Lonchura striata: one gene and its partners. The protein of the gene in region 3 purifies or fractionates together with the protein of the main gene of each other region. This does not show direct contact. Links are inferred from orthologs where the notes say so. Each region holds a gene or a part of one and is shown on either strand. Other genes may lie near its edges. The genes, in order: DDX20, SNRNP70 and GEMIN4.

Region 1 (8,035 bases), on a different chromosome or scaffold from region 3:
CAGATGAACAGGAAGAGCTCCTAGGCTCGTTTGGCTTCTGCTAAGGACATCCTTTTGATCCGTTTTCCAGCCTCGGGGCTGCTCCTGTCCCAGGAGACTGATAAAGGAGTTCAGGAGCACAGAATAAAGAAAAGACCGGCATATTCATGTGCTCCAAACTCCTGGGAACTTGCAAAGGAAGAAAAAAATCTGAAATATTTTCTCAGTAGAATTTCCTTACTAAGCAGCATTTTTCTCTTGCGTGTAGACAACTGGTTCAAAGCAGCACTGACACCTCATGCCAGGCCCTGCACTCCTTCCGCTCTGTCGTGGTGTAAACCATGAGCAGATGGTGCAGTGCACTGGAAAATCAGATCTCCGAGAAAGTACAGAGCCAAGAATAAAACTCCCCGAAGCAGAAAGCTACATGGTTTATTTCAGGACAAAAAGAAAAACTGAGATCCTTAGGCAAAAATTAGAATACTCCTTCAGAGTGGAGTATTCCACTTCTATGAACTGCCTCGTTCATTCCTGATTGAGGGAACATCCATCCCTTCACAGCTGAAGGCTCAGCTCATTTGTTGTCTTTCAGTTCATTGATCTGCTTTCTCCAGGCTCCCACGTGACTGTTCTCTGCTGAACTAACAAGCGTGGTTATCGCTGAATTTTCCTTCCTTTTGACTTTCTTGCACACTGACGACAAACCTTTCAGAATTTCCTCCCACTTCAGCTGCAGCATGACCTGAATTGAATCCATCCTTGTTTGAACCCACTGGGGCAGAAACACCCAGCCACGATAGGTAAGGATGTAATGTCAGAACTTTGCTGGTTTTATATTTGTGCATAAAGAGATAAAATAGCCCTGAAAATATGACTGTTTCTTCCATTAAGTCTAATTTAGTGCATACAGCCTCTGCGGCCTTTATATGTGAAGTTCTGACGTGCCCCAGCCTCACTATGCCCATCCTCAAAATAAAAACTTCTAACGCTGCTCCAGCCAAATTCCAGCTCCTGGCATTGCTCTGCCTGCACTGGAGTGCCAGGAGTAAGGAGCAGGGCAGCTCCTCATGCAGCACTGCTTGTGCTGAACATCTCCTACATTTCAGCTCGGCTCGCTGCATTTTCGTGACCTAGATCCCGCTCGCATGAGCTCAAAAAATAATGTAGCAAATCTTGGTATCGAAGATTAAACTGGGATGATGATTATTTATTTGGAAGACAACAGGAGTGAAATAGTGGCATTTCTCTCTGCAGAGCTGAAATAGCTGCTCTGACCCGGTCCCTTAGGCCAGCTTGCTTTTACCTGCAGCTGCACCCGTGCATGTGCCTGTGATGGCTCCCCCGTGGGCTTGAGATTCCATCTGAAATCTGGGGAATTCTCCCTGACCCTTGTGAAGAACGTGCCTGACGAGGAGCCCCGTCCGTTCCGCAGGAGGGCACTGAAATGAGCCTCAGATGGAGGCAGGACAGGACCATCCTCCTCCTCGTCACCGTTATTTATGGCAGCTCCACGCACAGGCTCGCTGGGAAGAGCCACAGCTTGGACATCACTGAAGCAACGGGGAAGATTCTGCTGCTCCCAAGACTTGCTGCTCCTTGGTAACTCCCAGGCAGCTTTCCTCTGCAGAGGGCAGGTGAATGTGCAGTTTTCCGTGGTGAACACGCAGGCGCCGTCTCTGCTGGGATCAATGGCCCTTTCACTGGCCTGGGCTCTACTGTACAGAGAGCAAACACAGTTTCCATGGCACTGGAAACACAAACATGTCCCACACTCCAAAGAGTGACTCACACGTGCTGCAGAGAACAGAGAAACTTCCCTGTCTTAATCTGAAAACATCTGCGAGAGGAGGATGAGATTATCTCACTTTCAAAATATGCTACAAATATTGTGTAAACCACATTTGCACTGAATAATTCCATGTCTTGGCAGATCTGAAAGACAAATCCTTTGAAGGCAAAGGAATAAGGCAAGGCTGGTGCCTGTTTGCAGTAGCAATGGCCAAATCAATAATGAATATATTCTTAAAATAAATACAACCCAACAATTCTGGAAGCCAATACAAACTGTCCATGTGCATTTTACCTCAGTATTTCAAAGAGTCACAATGAGAATTTAAGTGTTGGAAATGGAAGAGTAGATTTATAAGAAATGGAGGAGATGGATAAATTAGTGGGAAGTATTTAGTACAAGTGCTAATCCTGGTATTGCAGGTGCTAGGCTGAAATAGTCTGAAACAGTCTGAAATAGTCTAGAATAGTCTGCAACAGTCTGAAATAGTGATCACCTGACCTGCAGCCCCAGCAGCATCACTCAGAGGTGTCTTAGAACATCCCTTACCTAAAGCTGATACACTGAATTACAGATTCAGGGGAAAACGCATGCAATTAAAATCAAATCTGTGATGTGCACTTTCTAGCAGGGACAAAAATGTGGTGAGGACTATCTTGGAGCAATAAAACATGCTCTCAGTGTATTTGGGAGGAAGAATTTTCCCTAGCAGGGCTTTTCTACATCCTAAAACCTCAAGGAGTTTTATGACCCCAAGCTAGAGAGTTTATATCCCTTCAAAGGAACCTGTTATTTTAGTAATATTCCAGCTCTGAAGGATGTCTCATCGGCTTCCTTTACTAACCTAAATCCTTTCCCAGCACCTATTCTGCCTGCAGAGCATTCAGATTGAATGTCAGGATTTCCAAAGGCTGCTCTGAGCAGGAATACTGCCTTTGGCTTTCCAGCAAGCAACAGCAAAGCCCTGTCATGGCAAAGCTGCAGATTCCTCTTGGCAGGGCTGACACGTGAAGGTCAGCAACAGGAATTCAGTGCTGAGAGTCACTGAGGTAAAGCAAGGCCTGAAGGGAGAAGATTCCTGTGTGGACTGTGACTCACAGCACAGCACCTGCACAGAGCTCAAAACACAGAGAGGAGCAGGAGCAGGTGAGATTTGCTATGGGAATGAGGGCTAGAACAAAACCCTTCATGGGCTCACAACAAAAGAGCAGGAGCAGGTGAGATTTCCTACAGGAATGAGGGCTAGAACCCTTCATGGGATCGAGTGGCGGAGCTGCAGGAGCCGAAATGTGACACAGCCCCTCCGTCAGGGCCAGAACCAGCGCGACAGGGACAAATCTGCCAAGGGAGGCTGGCACACAGGGAGACGCTTTGGAGAGTGTCTGCGCTGAACGGCTGAAGGAAAATGAAATAACAAACAGCACCTTTGTGAATGATGGTCGGGATGTGTCATTAATGCACCACAGAGAACAACGCCTGTCTGCAGATCACCTTGGTGGAATTGCAACTTGCACGGAACCTCGGGAGAACAGGAGTAAGTGAGAGAAACAGAGAAGGCAGCAGCTCCTGCAATGGCTCTTGGGGCTGTTCTGTCACCTCCTCGCTGCCCTTCCCCCTGGGAACAGTCCCTCCTCACTGCTCTTTCTTGTCTGTTCAAATCACATCAATTTAAAAGGGTTATGAAAGGCTCTATTTAATCAAATGTTTGTTATGTCCAGGTGTCTTTGTCTGTCTCCTTTCCCAGATTTATCCAGAGACAATTATCTCATGGAGACTCTTTCCCCTTGAGGACCAATGAGAATATCCACTTAGAAATTAAAAAATAATTGGAACAGTGGCATGCCTGTGGATCCTGTTACCTGTCCCAGCCACGTGGTGTGCTCCCCCTTGGTGGAGGGGAGCTCTCCAAACTGGAACTGCTCTGTGTCCTGCAGGGTTGATGTTTGGTACTCAGATATCCACAGGAAAATATCATCATCATAAGACATAACTGAATAGAATCTGACAGACTTTTCTCCCCATCAGAAATACAGGCATGAGGAATTTCAAAGGCGTGACCAAGCCTGTGATACACCAAAGCCATTAAAATTCATTTTGGCTGCCCGGCACTGTAAGAATAATGGCACAGTGTATGTGCTTGTACAGTAGAAGCCACTGTGGAGATTTTCCAAATTCCCTTGCAATGAATGGAAGCTGCACGTCCAGAGCCTCCGAAGCGCTGCCATAAAGGCTGATATTCATAAATTTAAAATAAGTGGCCTACAGAGGGTAGTAAGTAGGGCACATACAGATTAACACGCTTGCCCTCTGCCGAGCGAACACTACGCTGTTATGTTTGCTGTCATGTTCTGAGGGCTCGCAAACCGCGTGTTCTGTGCGCTGTCCTCGGGACGGGCACGGCCCGGGCCGGCAGAGCCGGGGCGCTCGGACAGCGCCCGGCCCGGCCGGGGCGTGTGTGCGGGGCCAGCGGCGGCGCTCGGCGGCGATCTGCGGTTATTTGGGGCTATTTGCGGTTATCTGGGGCTATTTGCGGTTATTTATCTGGGGCTACATGGCGCTGTTCGCTCCGGAGGCCCTGACCCGCTATCCGTACCCGCCCTCAGGCGGAGCCGCCGCCATCTCCCCGTGCCCGCCCTCCCTCAGGAGGAGCCGCCGCCATCTCCCCGTGCCCGCCCTCAGGCGGAGCCGCCGCCGCCATCTCCCCGTGCCCGCCCTCAGGCGGAGCCGCCGCCATCTCCCCGTGCCCGCCCGCCCTCAGGCGGAGCTGCCCCCGCCGCCATCTCCCCGTGCCCGCCCTCAGGCGGAGCCGCCGCCATCTCCCCGTGCCCGCCCTCAGGAGGAGCCGCCGCCATCTCCCCGTGCCCGCCCTCCCTCAGGCGGAGCCGCCGCCATCTCCCCGTGCCCGCCCTCCCTCAGGCGGAGCTGCCCCCGCCGCCATCTCCCCGTGCCCTCCCTCAGGCGGAGCCGCCGCCATCTCCCCGTGCCCGCCCTCCCTTAGGCGGAGCTGCCCCCGCCGCCATCTCCCCGTGCCCGCCCTCAGGCGGAGCCGCCGCCATCTCCCCGTGCCCGCCCTCCCTCAGGCGGAGCCGCCGCCATCTCCCCGTGCCCGCCCTCCCTCAGGAGGAGCCGCCGCCATCTCCCCGTGCCCGCCCGCCCTCAGGCGGAGCCGCCGCCATCTCCCCCGCCGCGCCCCCTGGCGGCGCTGCGCCGCGGGATCAGGGCAGCTCTCGCGAGACTCCCGCCGCGGCCCGCCAAGATGGCGGCGCCCAGGGAGGCGGCGGGCCGGGTCCGCACCCGGGACGTGCTGCTGCCCGGCGGCCCCGCGGACTTCGGCTCCCTCCTGCTGTCGCCGCCGGTGCTGGCTGGGCTGGAGGCGGCCGGCTTCCATCGGCCCTCGCCCGTGCAGCTGAAGGCCATCCCGCTGGGGCGCTGCGGCCTGGGTGAGCGGGCGGGCCGGGCGCGGGGCCGGGATGGGTCTAGGATCTGCCCTGACCCCCAGGAGGTGCCCTGACCCCGGGATCTGCCCTGACCCTGGGATCTGCCCTGACCCCCAGGAGGTGCCCTGATCCCCGGGATCAGCCCTGACCCCGGGATCTGCCCTGATCCCGGGATCTGTCCTGACCCCGGGATCAGCCCTGACCCCGGGATCTGCCCTGATCCCGGGATCTGTCCTGACCCCGGGATCTGCCCTGATCCCGGGATCTGTCCTGACCCCCGGCGCTGCCCTGACTGCCACAGCCACTCTTTGCAGACCTCATCGTGCAGGCCAAGTCTGGCACCGGCAAGACGTGCGTGTTCGCCACCATCGCGCTGGAGGCGGTGCTGCTGGAGAGCCCGGCCACGCAGGTGAGGCACCCGGGGCTCTGGGGCGGGAGCGGCTCCTTTTGGGGGGATGTGGCACCGGGGCTCTGCGGAGGGAGCGGCTGTTTTTGGGGGATGTGGCACCAGACAGTGCGGTTTGCATCGCTGCGGTGCTGGGCTTAGCTCCCATCCCCCCAGTTAACCCTTGCCCCACACAGATCCTGATCCTGGCTCCCACCAGGGAGATTGCTGTACAGATCCACGCCGTCATCACGACCATTGGCATAAAAATGGAAGGCTTGGAATGCCACGTGTTCATTGGAGGGACTCCTCTGAGCCAGGACAGAAGCAGGCTGAAGAAGTGCCACATAGCTGTGGGCTCCCCAGGTAGGGAGCAGCTTTGCCGTGGTTTGGGTCCCCGTGGGCCTGCACAGGTCAGTAACCGGCCACGGGAAGCTGGCTTGGGGGAGTTTGTTGTCACTAACAGGGCACAGCCTCAGAGCAGCTCAGGAACACTTTAAAAGGTCACGCTGAAGGTGTTTGGGGCCCCGTTTCTGGAGCTGTTGGTGTTTCCCTCCTGCAGGGCGGATCAAGCAGCTGATCGAGCTGGACTACCTGAGCACGGCCAGCGTGCGGCTGCTGGTGCTGGACGAGGCGGACAAGCTGCTGGAGGAGGGCAGCTTCCAGGAGCAGATCAAGTAAGGCACAGCACCCTGCCAGGCTGCGTGGGCAGGCGGGTGCCCTGTGAGTGACTGCCTGCCCCTGTCTCTCAGCTGGATCTACTCCTCGCTGCCGCTCAACAAGCAGATGCTGGCGGTCTCAGCCACCTACCCCGAGTCCTTGGCTGCTGCCCTCACCAGGTACATGAGGGAGCCCACCTTCGTCAGGCTGAACCCCACGGACCCAAGCCTTCTTGGTGAGCACATAAAGGCACTCACAGTGGCATGGCTGGCAATAGATGACGAGGAGGGCACTAAAGCCAAAACACCTGCCTTTAGTTCCTAATTTCACCCCTGGGTTGTTCAGTTTATGAATATTGATCCCCAGTGTTGATGTAGTGAACCTTGAAGTGGAATGAGAAGGTCTTTAAAGGCCTTTCCAACCCAAACCTGTGATTCTGTATTTTTGAAATACCAGTGACAAATGGAGCTCCCTCCTTTTTCTATCCATTCAAAAATTCTAGCCTTTTTAGAAAATTTTCTCCTGGAGGTTCTGATGTCTGTCTGTTTGCAGTTTCCCTTCAGCTGCACTACCACGTGTTTACAGAACTCTGTGCATGTTTTTATGGCAGCCCCTAATCTGTTGTTTTGCTTTCCTGCTCAGGGCTGAAGCAGTACTACAAAATCGTGAATTCCCATCCCCTCCCACATAAAACCTTTGAGGAAAAAACCCAGCACCTGCAGGAGTTGTTCAGCAAGATTCCTTTCAACCAAGCCTTAGTCTTCTCAAATCTGCACAGCAGGTAACACATTTGCAATAACACCTGGACAAAGCTTGTTTGGGAGCAGTGCTTGTAATGCCCAGGCTCAGAGAAATTCATGGGACCTGCAAGGCCTCGGACTGCAAACCTCAGCTCTGAAATACTGCCTGAGGAATGCAGTGTGAAATACTGAAAATATCACAATGCAGTCCTTGGCTGTAGAGAGTAACCCAAGGACTGGCAGGTGTTGTTAGGCCTGGGGTTTTATTTCCAGTTTTCAGTGTGTGTGTTCCCTCAGGGCTCAACATCTGGCTGAAATACTGACATCCAGAGGCTTCCCTGCCGAGTGCATTTCAGGTAAAACCATTCACAATTTTCTGATTCCACTGAAATTGTGCATAAATGTGACCTAAACGAGGAAAATATATCTTCAATCTTGCCTTGCAGGGCCTCTGGTTAAATGGCTGAGAATAGCATTTGAATTGTCATAGGTCTTTCAAGACTCCATCTACAAGGAAAAGAATTTTTTTTGCAATGAGTGACCTGAGTTTTCCGGTTCTGTTTGTTCCTTCTTTACTCATTTGGGGCTGATGTTTGAGGAAGTTTCTAACTTATCCTGATGATACAAAGCAGTGTTTTCTAGAATGTGAGTGGCATAAAGATGAAGAATGTAACCTGCTTCTAATTTTTATCTTCCTAGGCAACATGAATCAAAATCAACGACTTGATGCCATGGCTAAATTAAAGCAATTCCACTGCAGAGTTCTGATTTCCACAGACTTGGTGAGATTTACTGCTTTCAAACAAGCTTTTTACAGATTCTATTTCAAATTTTACAGCATGCAGGAGTACTGCACATAAAATTACTTCAGAGGATTAGATTTGGCTTGGAATTGGAGAGGACATAAATGTGCTGGTGAAGCGCTGGGGGTTGGGACTTATTTTCACAGCGGGGCTTAGAAATCAGCCCCATGCCTCGTCTGCCTGCCCATGGCAGGGCTGGAACGAGGTGATACTTTTAGGGCCCATCCCACCCAGCCCGTTCT
Region 2 (7,795 bases), on a different chromosome or scaffold from region 3:
TGCTGAAGATGGTGACAACGACACCGACAACGAGAATGACGAAGATAAAAATGACACTGATGATGAAGTTGATGAAGATGGTGACAACGGCACCAACAACAAGGATGATGAAGACAACCCCGATGACGAACCCGACGCCGCCGACCGCGCCCGCTCGCCCCACTGACCTCTCCCTCGGCGCCGGAGCGGAACTGCGGCAGCGTCTCGAGGCAGAAGACCACGATGGACACCAGGATGACCAGCACGGACAGCAGGGCCACCACCCGCGCGGCCGGCGAGCTCTCGGGGTGCTCGCACAGCAGCCACGCCCGCCGCCTCAACCCTCCACGCGGCAACGCCGGCGGCTCCTCCACCGAGAAGCCTTCGGCCTCGCGCAGCCGCTCCTCCGCCTCGTCGCCCAGCTGGTAGAACCTCAGCTCCTCCAGGAACACGTCCAGGGGCACGTCCGGGGGTCTCCGCAGCCGCCCCCCGGACTGGTAGTAGTAGAGCACGGCCCCGAAGGCGCCGCGGTGGCGGTCGAAGAAGTACTCGCGGCGCTGGGGGTCGAAGAAGCGGCGCCGGCGCCGGGGGTCGCCCAGGAGGGTGTCGGGGAAGCGCCGCAGCGTCCGCACCAAGGTCTCGAAGCGCCGGCCGGCCACGTTGATGGCCACGCGCTCGCAGCAGCCCAGCGGCTCGCCCATGCCCGCGGCGCCCCCGCGACGGGGCACGGGCGGGGCAGAGGGCACCGAGGGCAGCCTGGGGCAGGTGGGGGGCGGCCCCGGCGGTCCTGGGGGTCAGCGGGGGGCGAGAGGGTCAAGGTTCTTCAGCGTCGGGGAAACCCAAAAGTCTTGAGGGATACTGAAGGACTTGAGGTCACAATGGGACCCCAAAGATTTGGGGAACCACGAAAAACTGGAGGTCAAAGATTTGGAGGACTGTGAAAATATTTGGGGTCTACAATGCTGGAGGAACCTCAAGGTTCTTCAGCGTCGGGGGAAACCCAAAAGTCTTGAGGGATACTGAAGTACTTGAGGTCACAATGGGATCCCAAAGATTTGGGGAACCCCAAAAAATTTGAGGTCAAAGATTTGGAGGACCCCAAAAATATTCGGGGTCTACAATGCTGGAGGAACCTCAAGGTTCTTCAGCATTGGGGGAAACCCAAAAGTCTTGAGTGACACTGAAGTATTGGGGGTCACAATGGGACACCAAAGATTTGGAGGACTGTGAAAATATTCGGGGTTTACAATGCTGGAGGAACCTCAAGGTTCTTCAGCGTCGGGGAAACCCAAAAATCTTGAGGGATACTGAAGGACTTGAGGTCACAATGGGACCCCAAAGATTTGGGGAACCCCGAAAAATGTTGGCAAGATTGGAGGTCAAAGATTTGGAGGACCCTGAAAATATTCGGGGTTTACAATGCTGGAGGAAACTCAAGGTTCTTCAGCATTGGGGACACCCCAAAAATCTTGAGTGACACTGAAATATTGGGGGTCACAATGGGACTTTAAAGATTTGGGGAACCCCAAAAATATTTGGGATCTACAATGTTGGAGGACCTCAAACTTCTGGGGGTCCCACACTGGGTCTACAATGTTGGAGGAACCCCAAGGTTCTTCAGCATTCAGAACAACCCAAAAATCTTGAGGGACACTGAAATATTTGGGGCCCAATGGGACCTTAAAGATTTGGGGAACCCCAAAACTATTGGAGGTCAAAGTGGGACCCTAAAGATTGGAGGAACCCTAAAATATTCGGGGCCAACAATGTTGGAGGACCCCAAATTTTTGGGGGTCCAACCGCGGTTCTACAATGCCGGAGGAACCTCGAGGTCCTGCGGTGTTGGGACACCCCAAAACTTTTGGGGGTCCCAAGGGGACCCTAAAGATTTGGGGGGCCCCTAAATTCTCAAGTGGTCAACGGTGCTGGAGGACCCTCAGGATCCTTGGGGGGTCCTACAGATTTGGGGGACCCCCTAAACTTAGGGGGTGTCCCAGGGTGACCCCAAAGCCTTGGAGAACCCTCGAGGTCTTTGGGGGTCCCACGGTGACCCCCAAGATTTGGGGGGACCCCAAAAATGTTGGAGCTGGGTGGACCTCGGGGGGGTCTCACGGGGGGTCAGGACCTTTGAGGTCCTCGGGGGTGACCCCAAAGATTTGGGGGGACCCCTCAACTCTTGGTGTCCCCCGGTGTCACTGCGTCCCCCCGAGGGTGTCCCCGGTGTCCCCAAGCCACCAGACCCCTGTCACCGAGTGTCCCAAACCGCCCCCACCCCCAGTGTCACAGGGGTGTCCCCAAGGTCCCCTCCTGTCCCCAAGGTGTCACCGGGGGGTCCCCAGCGGCTGCCACCGGCCTGGCCCCGTGTCACCGCCTGTCCCCAAACCCTGTCCCGGGGGTGTCCCCACCCCTCCTGACCCTGTCCCCGGGGTGTCCCCACTGTCCTGGGGGTGTCCCCACCCCTCCTCACTCTGTCCTGGGGGTGTCCCCAACCCTCCTCACCCTGTCCTGGGGATGTCCCCACCCCTCCTGACCCTGTCCCCGGGGTGTCCCCACTGTCCTGGGGGTGTCCCCACCCCTCCTCACTCTGTCCTGGGGGTGTCCCCAACCCTCCTCACCCTGTCCTGGGGGTGTCCCCACTGTCCTGGGGATGTCCCCACCCCTCCTGACCCTGTCCTGGGGGTGTCCCTGCTGTCCTGGGGGTGTCCCCACCCCTCCTCACCCTGTCCTGGGGATGTCCCCACCCCTCCTGACCCTGTCCCCGGGGTGTCCCCGCTGTCCTGGGGGTGTCCCCACCCCTCCTGACCCTGTCCTGGGGGTGTCCCCACTGTCCTGGGGGTGTCCCCACCCCTCCTGACCCTGTCCTGGGGGTGTCCCCACCCCTCCTCACCCTGTCCTGGGGGTGTCCCCACCCCTCCCGACCCTGTCCCCGGGGTGTCCCCGCTGTCCCCGGGGTGTCCCCGCTGTCCCGGGGATGTCCCCAACCCTCCCGACCCTGTCGACGGGGTGTCCCCGCTGTCCCGGGGGTGTCCCCGCTGTCCTGGGGGTGTCCCCACCCCTCCTGACCCTGTCCCGGGGGTGTCCCCGCTGTCCCCGGGGTGTCCCCGCTGTCCCCAGGGGTTGCCCCCCCACCTTGTCCCCGGGTGCCCCCTCCCCCCCACGTCACCCGGGTGTCCCCAACCCCCCCCCCACCCCCGCCACCACGGGGTGTCCCCGGCCCCTGTCCCTGTCACCGGGTGTCCCCGGCCCGCCGTCCCGCTGTCACCGCCGCTGTCCCGTAAACAGGGTGACAGGGTGGCCCCGCGGTGTCGGGTTCCCCCCCGCGCTAAAAATAACGGGGGGGGGGAGGGTGGGGGGGGGTGACCGGACACCCGGGTCCTCCCCCACCCCGGGGTCACCGAGTGTCCCCAAGGGGGGGTGACATCCCTGGGGGGGGTGACCGGACACCGGGTCCTCCCCCACCCCCCCGGGGTCACCGAGTGTCCCCAAGGGGGGGAGGGACATCCCCTGGGGGGGGGTGACCGGACACCGGGTCCTCCCCCACCCCGGGGTCACCGAGTGTCCCCAAGGGGGGGTGACACCCCTGGGGTGGGGGGGGGTGACCGGACACCGGGTCCTCCCCCACCCCGGGGTCACCGAGTGTCCCCAAGGGGTGGGTGACACCCCTGGGGTGGGGGGGTGACCAGACACCGGGTCCTCCCCCACCCCCCCCCGGGGTCACCGAGTGTCCCCAAGGGGTGGGTGACAACCCTGGGGGGGTGACCGGACACCGGGTCCTCCCCCACCCCACCCCGGGGTCACCGAGTGTCCCCAAGGGGGGAGGGACATCCCTTGGGGGGGGGGGTGACCGGACACCCGGGTCCTCCCCCCCCCCGGGGTCACCGAGTGTCCCCAAGGGGGGGAGGGACATCCCTTGGGGGGGTGACCGGACACCCGGGTCCTCCCCCACCCCCCGGGGTCACCGAGTGTCCCCAAGGGGGGGTGACACCCCTGGGGGGGGTGACCGGACACCGGGTCCTCCCCCACCCCCCCCGGGGTCACCGAGTGTCCCCAAGGGGGGGTGACACCCCTGGGGGGGGTGACCGGACACCGGGTCCTCCCCCACCCCCCCCGGGGTCACCGAGTGTCCCCAAGGGGTGGGTGACAACCCTGGGGGGGTGGGGGAGGGGCGGGGAATGGCTGTCGCCCCTCCCCCATGGCTAACGGGGGGGGGAACACCCCGGTGGGGGGGGGGGGATGGGCAGGAGGGGACCCCCCCACCCCAAAATTGGGAAGGGTGGGGGGGGTGGTGTCACCCTGGTTGTCATAGCAACGGGACGGGGGGGGGGGGGTGTGACCTGTGTAGGGATGAGGGAGGGGGAGCATCCCGGTTGCCGTGGCGACGTGATTTATAATTTTGGATTTTGGGTTTTTATTTTAAATTTTTTTTCTCCGTTGTCATGGAAACCACGCGGGGTGTCCCACGGGGGGGGTGGGTGGCAACCTGGTTGCTATGGCAACGAGACGGGCTGTTCCCTCCCCGTTGCTACGGAGGGAGGGGGGGACCCCGCGGCTGTTCCCGGTTGCCATGGAAACCCCCGGCCCGGCAGCGAAGCCCCGCCCACGTTGCCATGGCGCGCGGTGGGGGCGTGGCCATCTCATAACCACGCCTCCTCAGCAGACCACGCCCACAGCACCGGTTAATTAAGCCACGCCCCTAACAGCGATTGGTCCGCCACGCCTCCTTCATTTGCATGGACACGCCCCTTTGACCACGCCCCCTCACGGAACCGTTACCGGCCCCTTCCCCGCCTTTCCGCCGCCGCCACTTCCGGTTTCGCCCCTCACTTCCGTTGGCGCGGCGGCGGGCGCGCATGCGCGGGGGGCGGCGCGCGCGGAGCCGGAGGCAGCGCGGGGTCCGTGAGGGCCGCGGGCTCCGGGAGGGCCGCGGGCTCCGGGGGCGGCTCCGGGAGGGACCCCGAGAGGGCAGCGGGCCGGGGGGGACCCGCCCGGGAGAGGGGGAGAGCCCCGGAGCGGCGGGGGGCGCGGGGAGGGGTGGGGAGGGTGAGGGGGGGGCGCTGCCCTGAGGGCTTGGGGGGCTGAGGGTGGCTGGGGGCGCTGGGGCGGGGTTGAGGGGTCCAGGGGTGTCCGGGGGGGATTTTGGGGGTCGGAGGGTGGCTCTGGGTGTCCGGTGGGGATTTGGGGGAGGTCTGGGGGTGGTTTTGGGGGGTCTGGGGGGTGTCCAGGGTGGGGTTATGGGGGTCTAGGAGGGGATTTTGGGGGGTCTGGGGGTGGTTTGGGGGGTCTGGGGGGTGTGCAGGGTGGGGTTATGGGGGTCTAGGAGGGGATTCTGGGGGGTCTGGGGGTGGTTTGGGGGGTCTGGGGGGTGTGCAGGGTGGGGTTATGGGGGTCTAGGAGGGGATTTTGGGGTCTGAGGATGGCTGTGAGTGTTGGGGGAGGGTTTTGGGGGGTCTGGGGGGTGTCCAGGGTGGGGTTATGGGGCTCTAGGAGGGGATTTTGGGGGGTCTGAGGGCAGTTTTGGATGTTGGGAGGGGGTTTGGGGGGTCTGGGGGGTGTCCAGGGTGGGGTTATGAGGGTCTAGGAGGGGATTTTGGGGGGTCTGAGGGCGGCTGTGGGATTTGGGGGGGTGTGTGGGGTGGGGTTATGGGGGTCTAGGGGTGTCTGGAGGGGATTTTGGGGGGTCTGTGGGTGTTGGGGGGGTTTGGGGGGTCTGGGGGGTGTGTGGGGTGGGGTTATGGGGGTCTAGGGGTGTCTGGAGGGGATTTTGGGGGGGTCTGGGGGTGGCTGGTGTGCAGTTAGAGGGGCTCAGGAAGGTTTGGGGGGTCCCAGGTGGGGTTATGGGGGTCTGGGGTGCCCAGGGTGGGGTTTTGGGTGTCTGTAATGGGTCTGGGGGTGGCTGGTGTGGGGTTAGAAGGACCCAGGAAGGTTTTGGGGGGTCCCAGGTGAGGTTATGGGGTGCAGTGTGGGGTTTTTGGGGGTCTGGGGGTGGCTGGTGTAGGGTGAAAGGAGCCCAGGAAGGTTTTGGGGGGTCCCAGGTGGGGTTTTGGGGGTCTGGAATGGGTATGGGGGTGGTCGGTGTGGGGTTAGAAGGACCCAGGAAGGTTCTGGGGGGGGTCTCAGGAATGTTCTGGGGGGTTGGGGTGGGTTTTTGGGGATCCAGCGTGGGATGAATCAGCTGCAGCGAGGGCGGAATTTGGGGATTTTGGGGTGGGTTTTTTGGGGTTCTGGGGGTCCTGACCTCCCCCCTGTGCCCCCCAGAGCCTCCCAGGATGACGCAGTTCCTGCCCCCCAACCTTTTGGCCCTTTTTGCCCCCCGGGACCCCATCCCTTACCTGCCCCCCCTGGAGAAGTTGCCCCATGAGAAGCACCACAACCAACCCTACAGCGGCATCGCGCCCTACATCCGGGAGTTTGAGGTACCCCAAAGCCCCCAGACCCCCAAAACCCTCCCCTAAACCCCCCAAACCCCACTGTGGAACTCCCCAAAACCACCCTGGACCCCCAAAACCCTCCCCAGACCCCCAAACTCCACCCCAGGTCTGGCCAAACCCCCACAGATCCCCACAATCCCCCAAAACCCCACCCCAGGACTCTCCAAAACCCTCCCCAGACCCCCAAAACCCTCCCCAGACCCCCAAAACTCCACCCCTAGACCCCCCAAGCCCCACTGCAGAACTCCCCAAAACCACCCCGGACCCCCAAAACCCTCCCCAGATCCCCAAACTCCACCCCAGGACTGGCCAAACCCCCACAGATCCCCACAATCCCTCAAAACCCCACCCCAGGACTCTCCAAAACCCCTCAGGACCCCCAAAACCCTCCCCAGACCCCCACAATCCCCCAGAACTCCATCCCAGGACTCTCCAAAAACCATCCCAGACCCTCAAAACCCACCCCAGGACTCCCCAAAAATCCACCCCAGGACTCCCCAATCCCCCAAAACCCCACTCCAGATATCCCCAAAACCCTCCCCAGACCCCCAAAACCCTCCCATAAACCCCCCAAACCCCACCGCAGAAATCCCCAAAATTATCCCGGACCCCCAGAACCCTCCCCAGACCCCCAAAACTCTACCCCAGAACTCCCCAAAACCATCCCAGACCCCAAAAAACCCCAAAACCCCACCCCAGAACTCCCCAGAACCCCTATGGAGCCCTATAATCCCCCCAAAACCACCAGACCCCACCCCAGAACCCCCCAAAACCACCCTGGAGCCCCATAATCCCCCAAAACCCGGCAAAACCCACCCTGGAAGCCCCCAAACCCCACCCCAGGACTCCCCAAAACTCCCCAAAACTCCCTCAGACCCCCAAAACTCCCCAAACCCTACCCCAGAATTCCCCAGAACCACCTCAGAGCCCCAAAACCCCAACCCAGAAGTCCCCAAAACCACCGTGGACCCCCAAAACCCTCCCCAGAACTCCCCAAAACCACCCCAGAGCTCCAAAATCCCCCCAGAACTCCCCAAAACCCTCTCCAGAACTCCCCAGAACCACCCCGGACCCCCACAATCCTCCCCTGCATCCCCCCAAATCCTCAAAAACCCCTTTCTAGACTCCCCCAGACCCCCATAACTATGCCCCAAACCCCCTCTCCACCCCAAAAACCCTCCTGGACCCCCCAAAACCCCTCTGTGACCCCCCAAAACCCCTCTGTGACCCCCCAAAACCCCTCTGTGACCCCCCAAAACCCCTCTGTGTCCCCCCAGGACCCCCGCGATGCCCCCCCACCGACGCGCGCCGAGACGCGCGAGGAGCGCATGGAGCGCAAGGTACGTCCAGAACCCCCAAACGGGGGGAAACCCCCCCCAGAATGGGGT
Region 3 (7,131 bases):
CTGGCTCTGCAGGTGCTGCGGCACGAGGAGTTCGAGGAGGGCTGCAAGGCCACCTGCAACGGGTGAGTGCCCGGTGCAGCTGTTGTTCACAGTAAAATAAAGTTTGGGTTGTTTCTTATTAAATTGCTTCCCTTGGAACCTGCAGCCCCCCACTCTGTGTAGGTGTGGTGTTTATATTGCACAGAAATACCACGCCTCTAGGTTGATACTTAATTATTTCTCAGCTTATCAGGAATTTCTCAGCTTATCAGGACTCCAGTTCCACTGATTGTTTAGATAATCGTGGCACTATCAAGGTTCTTGAGTTAAAAATCCCTCCTGGTAGCCCAAGGCTAAAGAAAAAGAAATTAAAAGAAGAAGAAAGAGGAATGCATTTCATTGTGAAGTGGAAGGAATCTTACAGTTTGGTGCCCTTTCCTACTTAGCAATAAGGAAGTGATTATGTAATTGCAGCTAATGAGCAGCCTGTGCTCTTAAAGCACCAGCTGTTAATGAGGTAGAATTGCTTTTATCATATGAAGAGAGCCCGGGGTCAAATCTGCCACGATTTCACTCTAGAAACACAACTCCTCCTTGAAACACAAATACTCGCAGTTCTTGGTGGTTCATTTCAATGCTAATGACATTAAAATATGGATAATATGGATATTCCAGCCCTTATGATGGAAAATGGAGCAAGACCATGGTGGGTTACGGACCAGAGGACAATCACTTTGTGGCAGAGCTGACTTACAATTATGGCATTGGAGAATATCGCCTGGGCAACGACTTCCTGGTGAGTTCCACTCATGATAAGCTGATTTACCTTGATAATTAGGAGCTCATTTGTCACAGCTGCTTATTTTTATGCTGTTGGGTCCCTTAACCACATAATCGTTGCTTTTATGGTTGTCTCTGAGTTGGAAGAGCAGAATCCAGAGCAGATTTGTGCTCACTTAGAGGTCCAGGAAACATTTCTGGAGCTCTCCCTCTGCTGTGTGGGACAGCTGGTGTTTGCTGCCAGATCCAACAGGAGGAACTTGCTGCAGGAAAACACTCTTATATTTATTATTTTGATAATTTTTGTGATTTAGTGGCTGGCAGCAGATGGAGATCTCGTGTTTCCTGTGTGGAAGGAGGTTCTGTCTCTGCCTCCACCCCATGGATTGTGTTGTGTCCTCTCTAGGGCATCACTCTGGTGTCCAGCCAGGCTGTGAGCAATGCCAAGAAGATGGGGTGGCCCCTCAAAGAAGTCACCTCTGGTGTCTTTGAAGCTGAAGCCCCAGGAGGATACAAATTCTACCTGGAAGACAAAGAACAGCCCAAGCAAGGTGAAATACCCCTGCTGGTGTTCAGCAGAGGTTTAACAGTGGGGTATCAGAGTGTGTTTATTTTGATGGCATTTTGTAGAACAGTACACTTTTTTTATAATTTCTCTGTTACTTCTCAAGAATACTAATGACATTAACTGTGGATTTAAAGCTATAATATGTTTGTAGCTAATGTGAAATTATTGCAATCCTCAAGATCCCGTGTGGAAGGTAACCCTGGGTGTCTCAAACCTGCAGAAGTCTGTGAGCTACTGGTCTGGTTTGCTTGGGATGAAAATCTATGAGAAGGATGAGGAGAAACAAAGGGCTTTGCTGGGCTACGCTGATAACCAGGTCAGTCCTTGGAAAAATCACCAATTTCAGGAAAAAAGCTCTTAATTAGAGCAACTGTGCCCTTAATGATGAGTGTTTTAATTGACGCTGTATACACCCAGCTGCGCTTTTAAAAATAAAAAAGCAAAGCTGTGGTTTGCTGTGGCTTGTTGGGAAAGGCGTGGATGGGGGATTTTGGAATCAGCTGCAGCCTGGAGCAGTGTCCCTGCAAGCCAGGCTGGGTTTTTCCCTGTCCCAGTGCAAGCTGGAGCTGAAGGCTGTTGGAGGAGCAGTGGACCACGGGACAGCGTTCGGCCGCATCGCCTTCTCCTGTGCCAAGGAAGAGGTAACAGCCCCATTTCCCTCCCCCCAGCTGGGGAAGGTTGTTTTGGTGTTAACAAAACCCTGAGCAGATAGTTTATCTCTTTGGCAGCGAGGTGATTTGGGTTTGCTTTCTGTTTCCAGCTGCCAAGCATTGAAGCCCTGATGAAAAAGGAGAATCAGAAAATCTTGACGCCCCTGGTCAGCTTGGACACGCCTGGCAAAGCCACGGTGCAGGTGGTGATTCTGGCTGATCCTGTGAGTAAAACTGAAAAGTTTTAAAAGTGGTTAAATTTGGTTTCAGTTCCTCCTTGCCATTAGTTATAACTGAGCTGCCTCCTTTCAGGATGGCCACGAAATCTGTTTTGTGGGGGATGAAGCATTCAGAGAGCTGTCCCAGGTGGACCCTAATGGTGACAAGCTGTTGGATGATGTAAGTGGCTGCACATTCATTTTCTTCCTGATTAGAGATACCTGTAAAATCCAATTTTCATTCCATGCTGAGTTTTTCCTGGAAGCAAATCACCCAGGGTTGGTAAGGAAAATAAATCAGTTTTTAAATCTCACTTGGTGCCCTGGGTGGAGTTGTCCAGCATCACTCTTGGGGCATGGTCTCGTTGTTTGCTGTGGCAGAGAAAGTTGGTTTTCAGTGTCAGTTCTCCTTACTAGTAGCTAAAAAATGATTTATCTCTCCAGAGAGCTTTCCTCCTGTTCTGACCATGTTCCCACTTGTCTTTGTGCAGGCCATGGCTGCAGACAACAGTGACAAGTGGTTTGCTGAGCACAACATGAAGAAGGTTTCAGCTTAGCTGGAGGAATGGCCTGTGCTGCTATTCTGTGCCTTGGAGTTCTTCCAAGAAAGTGCCAATCCTGGTTAAAGTGCTGCCTTCCTAATCAGAAGGTGCTGGGATTTCCTGTGGTGGGTTTTTTTGGGTTGATTTAAGCTGATGTCTCTGGCCTGCTGCTCTGTCCCTTTCACATCTCATCCATCCAAAAAAACGGGGGCCATGCAGCAAAGGAGCAGCTGAGCCCTTGGCTTCAAAACAGGGACCATCAGTCAAGAGAGAATCACATTTCTGTGTTGTTATGCTTCAAGGAAAGGTGGATAGGTTATTTTCTGATTAATTAATTTCCTGATTACTTTGCTTTAGCTGTCCTTCATTTGCAGGCTAGAGAGGAGATTTGGAGGCAGCTGTGGCTACTCCCCCTCTCCAGGGAGGTGTGGGGTGCATCCCTTTATTGGGAACAAAGAAATGATCTTGCCAAGCTGCGTGAATACTCCAGTCCTTGTTATTCCAAGGAGTTTCCCCAGCTTCCAAGGGGAAATGTTCAGCCCGTGGTGTGTTTCTCACTGGGATCCTGCTGTTGCTGGGTTTCCAGTCTTTCTCCAGGAGATTTCCACGTTCCAGCAGGGAACTGAGGCTGTGCTTTGGGGTTTGGAGCTGCACTGTCTGCTGAGGTGCCAGGGGGCAGCTTGAAATAAGTTTTTCACTTAGCTGTTGGTGAGAAGCTGCCTTTGGAAATAACAATTCAGGGTTTTTTGTGTTGGAGTGAAGTTGCTCTGCTTTTGCTGGGAATACAGGGAGTCATTCCCATCATTGCTTGTGCCACGTATGCTGCCTGACCATCGTTTCCTTGATGAAAACCTTAAATAAAATCCTTTAAATCAGGTTTTCATCGCGAAACGAGTTTGATAGAGACGATCGATCGGGCAGCGTTGGCACTTCTGAGGTGGAGCAGGAAAAACTCCTCACTGCGATTTGTTTTTTTTTTTTTTCAGTCAGCTTTTTGAATTCCATTTTAATGGCGGTTTGGAATCCTATTTGTATGATTAAACACATTGATAGTGGAGCATGGCAATGAATTAGTCCATGAATTCATTTATTAATTTTTTCATTAATTATATTAGTCCATGAATTCATTCATTAATTAATTCACTAATGTTTTCATTAATTATATTAGTCCATGAATTCATTAATCAATTCATTAATGATTTCATTAATGAATTCGTTAATTTTTCATTAATGATTTAATTAATGATTTCATTAATTAATTAAGCAGCACACCTCCGCGCCGCCAGGGGCCGCTGCGAGCGCGCGGCGGGGCGGGGGCGGACGGCGTTACGTCAGCGCAGCGCGGGCGTGACGTCACCGCGCGGGCGCCATGGCGGCGGCGGAGCGCGGGCCCGCCATGGCGGCGGGCGGGCCCTGGGCCGTGGGCGAGGAGACGGCGATCCTGCACGGCGGCTTCCTGCTGGCCGCCCGCCTGCTGCAGCCGCGGCCGCTGCGGGAGCTGCGCAAGGCCGACTGGCCCCGCGCGGGGCTGCCCATCGCCGACGCGCTGCGCGAGATCGCCGAGCGCTGCCCCGCGCCGCGCCGCCGGTGGAAGAAGGAGGCCGTGGCCATCGTGTGGGCCAAGATCCTGCTGCCGGCGCTGGAGTGGGGCTGGAGGGATGACGGGTTCTTCTCGGTGGGCGCGATGATCCCCGATGTCAGCCCCGCCGCGCTCTTCGAGCTGGTGAAGGCGCTGGGCGAGCCGCGGCTCTGGGTGCAGCTGCTGCTGGCGCTGCCGCCGGCCGTGTGCCGGGCACAGCTGCAGAGCTTGGTGCGGTACATCTCCAGCGAGACCTCCTTGTCGGACGTCAGCTTCTTCCTGGACGTGTGGTGGGAGGTGCTGAAGCACAGGGCGGGGCAGGAGGATGCCACGGTGTCGGCGTTCGGCGCTCTCATCCACCAGCACGGCGGGGAGTCCCCCCCCGAGGATGGTCTGCAGCCCCCAAAGAGGTTCAAGGGTGACCCTGGGAGCGCCGCGGCCACCGCCGGGCTGCCCGCGGTGCTGCTGGAGGGGTTAAAGCTGATCCGAGGCAGCATCGCCCAGCCCCGCCTGAGGTGCTACGCCCTGGCCAACCTGGCGGAGCTGCTGTGCCTCTCCTCGGTGCTGGGGCCGGGGCACAGCCCCCTGCCCATCGCGGAGCACCTGGCCAAGCTCGGCGCCGTGGTCAGTCTCTGGAGCAGTGATGCTGACAGCCAGTACCACCCCTGCGAGCTGGGAGAGAAGGTGAGGGAGGCAGAGAGGAGCCTGAGCCTCCTGTGCCTGACCAAACCCTCTCGTGAGGAGCTCTTCGATGGCTTAGGCTTGCTCTGCAGCTTGCTGCAGGCCTGGGGAGAGGAGCTGCAGGACACTCTGAGGGGGTGTGAGGGGCTTTGCTTTGAGAGCTACCGGCTCCTGGACGCTCTGAGCAGCCTTGGGAAGAACCTGGATTTCCTCTTGGAGACCAGAGACCTGGGGGATGGCGGGACATGGGTGGTGTCAGAGGTGACACAGCTCATCAAGGACTTGCTCAGGGACACCGGTGCAGTCCTGAAGGGTTTGGACACCAGCCTTGTGTCTTCAGTTGCCATGGCAATCATTGCACAGAGGCTGGACCGCCATGGGGAAACCTGCTCTGTTTTTGCATCTGAAAAGACCTGGGCTTTTTCAAAGGCCTGGGTCGAGTGCCTGGTGAAGAATAAAGCTCTGTTCCAGACTCCTGAGCTAGTTTTGAAACTGCTGGAGACGCTGGTGAACTTTGCTACTTCCCACCATGACCAGGAGGCCCAAGAGCTGCAGATGCAAGTGACCAAAGCCATCGTGGAGTGCTACACTGAGCTTTCATTGAGTGACAAAAACAAAGTGATCTCAGCTGTCCTGGCGTCCTGGGGCGGCCCAGGTCTGTCCCAGAACGTGCAGGTTGTCAGGGAGGGCTTCCAGGAGGACCTGAATGTGACTTTGAACCAGATCACAGAGAGTGTGTCTGATGAAGGCCTGGCCAGGGCTGTGGCTTCTGTGGCCAGGCTGACACTGCTGTCCCCCGAGGCCACAGTGAAGCAGGTTTGTCATCTTGCTGTGGTCAACCTCGGGGCGCACCAGTTCCTCGCCCAAATCCTCTGCTCCTTCCCAGCACTGAGCTTCCTGGAGAGCCACGAGGGTGCAGGCAAGCCACGCAGCCTGGTGGTGAGGTGCCTGGAGGAGGCAGTGTGGGGGAAGCTTTCCACGGCGAGGGAAGAGGAGCAATTCCTTCAGTTCCTGGCCTTTCTCATGCAGCCAGGCTCAGCCACCCCACTTGTGTCACCTGCAGAAGTGACCGAAGCCTTTGTCCTTCCCTGTTTAAAGTCAGACTCTGCTCAGATTGAGCTGAGCCTGCAGATCCTCAGTAAGGTTTTGGGAATACCATCCTGCTCAGAAGAGCACTGGATTGAGTCCTGCCACCCATTCCCACTTCTCCTTAGCCTCTGCAAACTTCTGGATGGTTACACCAAGTACTGGCATCGGCCTAGGGAGCAGCTCTTCCCTTCCCTGGAGACCAAAGACCTGATTCTGAGCATCCTGTGCCAGCTGTGCGAGCTGGTGGGACCAGAGACCGTCCCCTCCTCGGAGCTGTGGGTGCAGTCGCTGGCCTGGCTCCACAGGAAGGTGGCATCCCTGGACTGGACCGTGGGGCTCCGTCTGAAGAAGCTTTATGGGGATCACTTCAAGAACGAGGTCCCAGCGACGCTGTTCGAGATCTGCAGGCTCCCTGAGGACGAGTGGACGTGCCAGTCCTGGCCAGCCTACGGGCCGGGCAGTGGGCTGCTGGCGTGGATGGAGTGCTGCTGCGTGTCCCCAGCGCTCAGGGACTCCATGCTGGCGCTGCTCTGCGTCAACGTGGACAACCCCGAGGAGGTGAATCTCTTCAGCAAAGGCTTCCTGGTGGCCCTCATCCAGGTGCTGCCTTGGTGCAGCCCCGGCGAGTGGAGGAGGCTGGTGCCCGTGGTGGAGCAGCTGCTGCAGAAGGAGGTGCTGCACGTGCCCTACACGCTGGAGTACGTGCAGCACGTGCCCCTGCTCAACCTGCGCCCCTTCGCCTGCCACCTGCAGCTCTCCGTGCTCTTCCTGCGGGGCTTCCAGCTCCTCTGCAGCTCCAGCTGCTCCAGCTGGCTGCCTCCAGAGGCCTGGCTGCACGTGGTGCAGCTGTACTGCGCCAGCCTGACCGACCTGCTGGCCTCCCTCAAGGCCGCGGCGGCGGCCGCGGCTCAGCCCTGCGCGCAGGAGGTGTCCTTCACCTGCATCCAGCTCTTCTGCCACCTGCTGCACGTGGCTGCCATGCTGCCTGCTGGGGGCTGTGAGGAGCCTCTGCTGGTGGTGGCCCTGGAGGTGCTGTCGCAGTACG

What was found.
Region 1: the proteins of GEMIN4 (region 3) and DDX20 purify together in Homo sapiens (co-immunoprecipitation; 7 studies listed by BioGRID and IntAct, counting the BioPlex papers as one, with this or other methods). This does not show direct contact. The link is inferred for Lonchura striata from reciprocal best matches to the Homo sapiens genes GEMIN4 and DDX20.
Region 2: the proteins of GEMIN4 (region 3) and SNRNP70 purify together in Homo sapiens (affinity purification with mass spectrometry; 5 studies listed by BioGRID and IntAct, counting the BioPlex papers as one, with this or other methods). This does not show direct contact. The link is inferred for Lonchura striata from reciprocal best matches to the Homo sapiens genes GEMIN4 and SNRNP70.

The regions. Positions count from the first base shown.
Region 1 is NC_134632.1:5,521,224-5,529,258, forward strand, and holds the start of DDX20 (putative ATP-dependent RNA helicase DDX20), read left to right. Parts: upstream 1-4,975; 5' UTR 4,976-5,024; coding exon 5,025-5,208; intron 5,209-5,519; coding exon 5,520-5,614; intron 5,615-5,787; coding exon 5,788-5,956; intron 5,957-6,152; coding exon 6,153-6,267; intron 6,268-6,342; coding exon 6,343-6,485; intron 6,486-6,892; coding exon 6,893-7,031; intron 7,032-7,287; coding exon 7,288-7,346; intron 7,347-7,689; coding exon 7,690-7,772; intron 7,773-8,035.
Region 2 is NC_134640.1:2,127,597-2,135,391, forward strand, and holds the start of SNRNP70 (U1 small nuclear ribonucleoprotein 70 kDa), read left to right. Parts: upstream 1-4,747; 5' UTR 4,748-4,871; intron 4,872-6,234; 5' UTR 6,235-6,245; coding exon 6,246-6,392; intron 6,393-7,684; coding exon 7,685-7,747; intron 7,748-7,795. Other genes in the region: KCNA7 (potassium voltage-gated channel subfamily A member 7), read right to left, coding at 97-680. UniProt on the Homo sapiens protein: Component of the spliceosomal U1 snRNP, which is essential for recognition of the pre-mRNA 5' splice-site and the subsequent assembly of the spliceosome. SNRNP70 binds to the loop I region of U1-snRNA.
Region 3 is NC_134622.1:8,702,408-8,709,538, forward strand, and holds the start of GEMIN4 (gem-associated protein 4), read left to right. Parts: upstream 1-4,106; coding exon 4,107-7,131. Other genes in the region: GLOD4 (glyoxalase domain-containing protein 4), read left to right, coding at 13-62, 655-775, 1,166-1,310, 1,507-1,643, 1,882-1,968, 2,088-2,201, 2,290-2,376, 2,687-2,752. UniProt on the Homo sapiens protein: The SMN complex catalyzes the assembly of small nuclear ribonucleoproteins (snRNPs), the building blocks of the spliceosome, and thereby plays an important role in the splicing of cellular pre-mRNAs.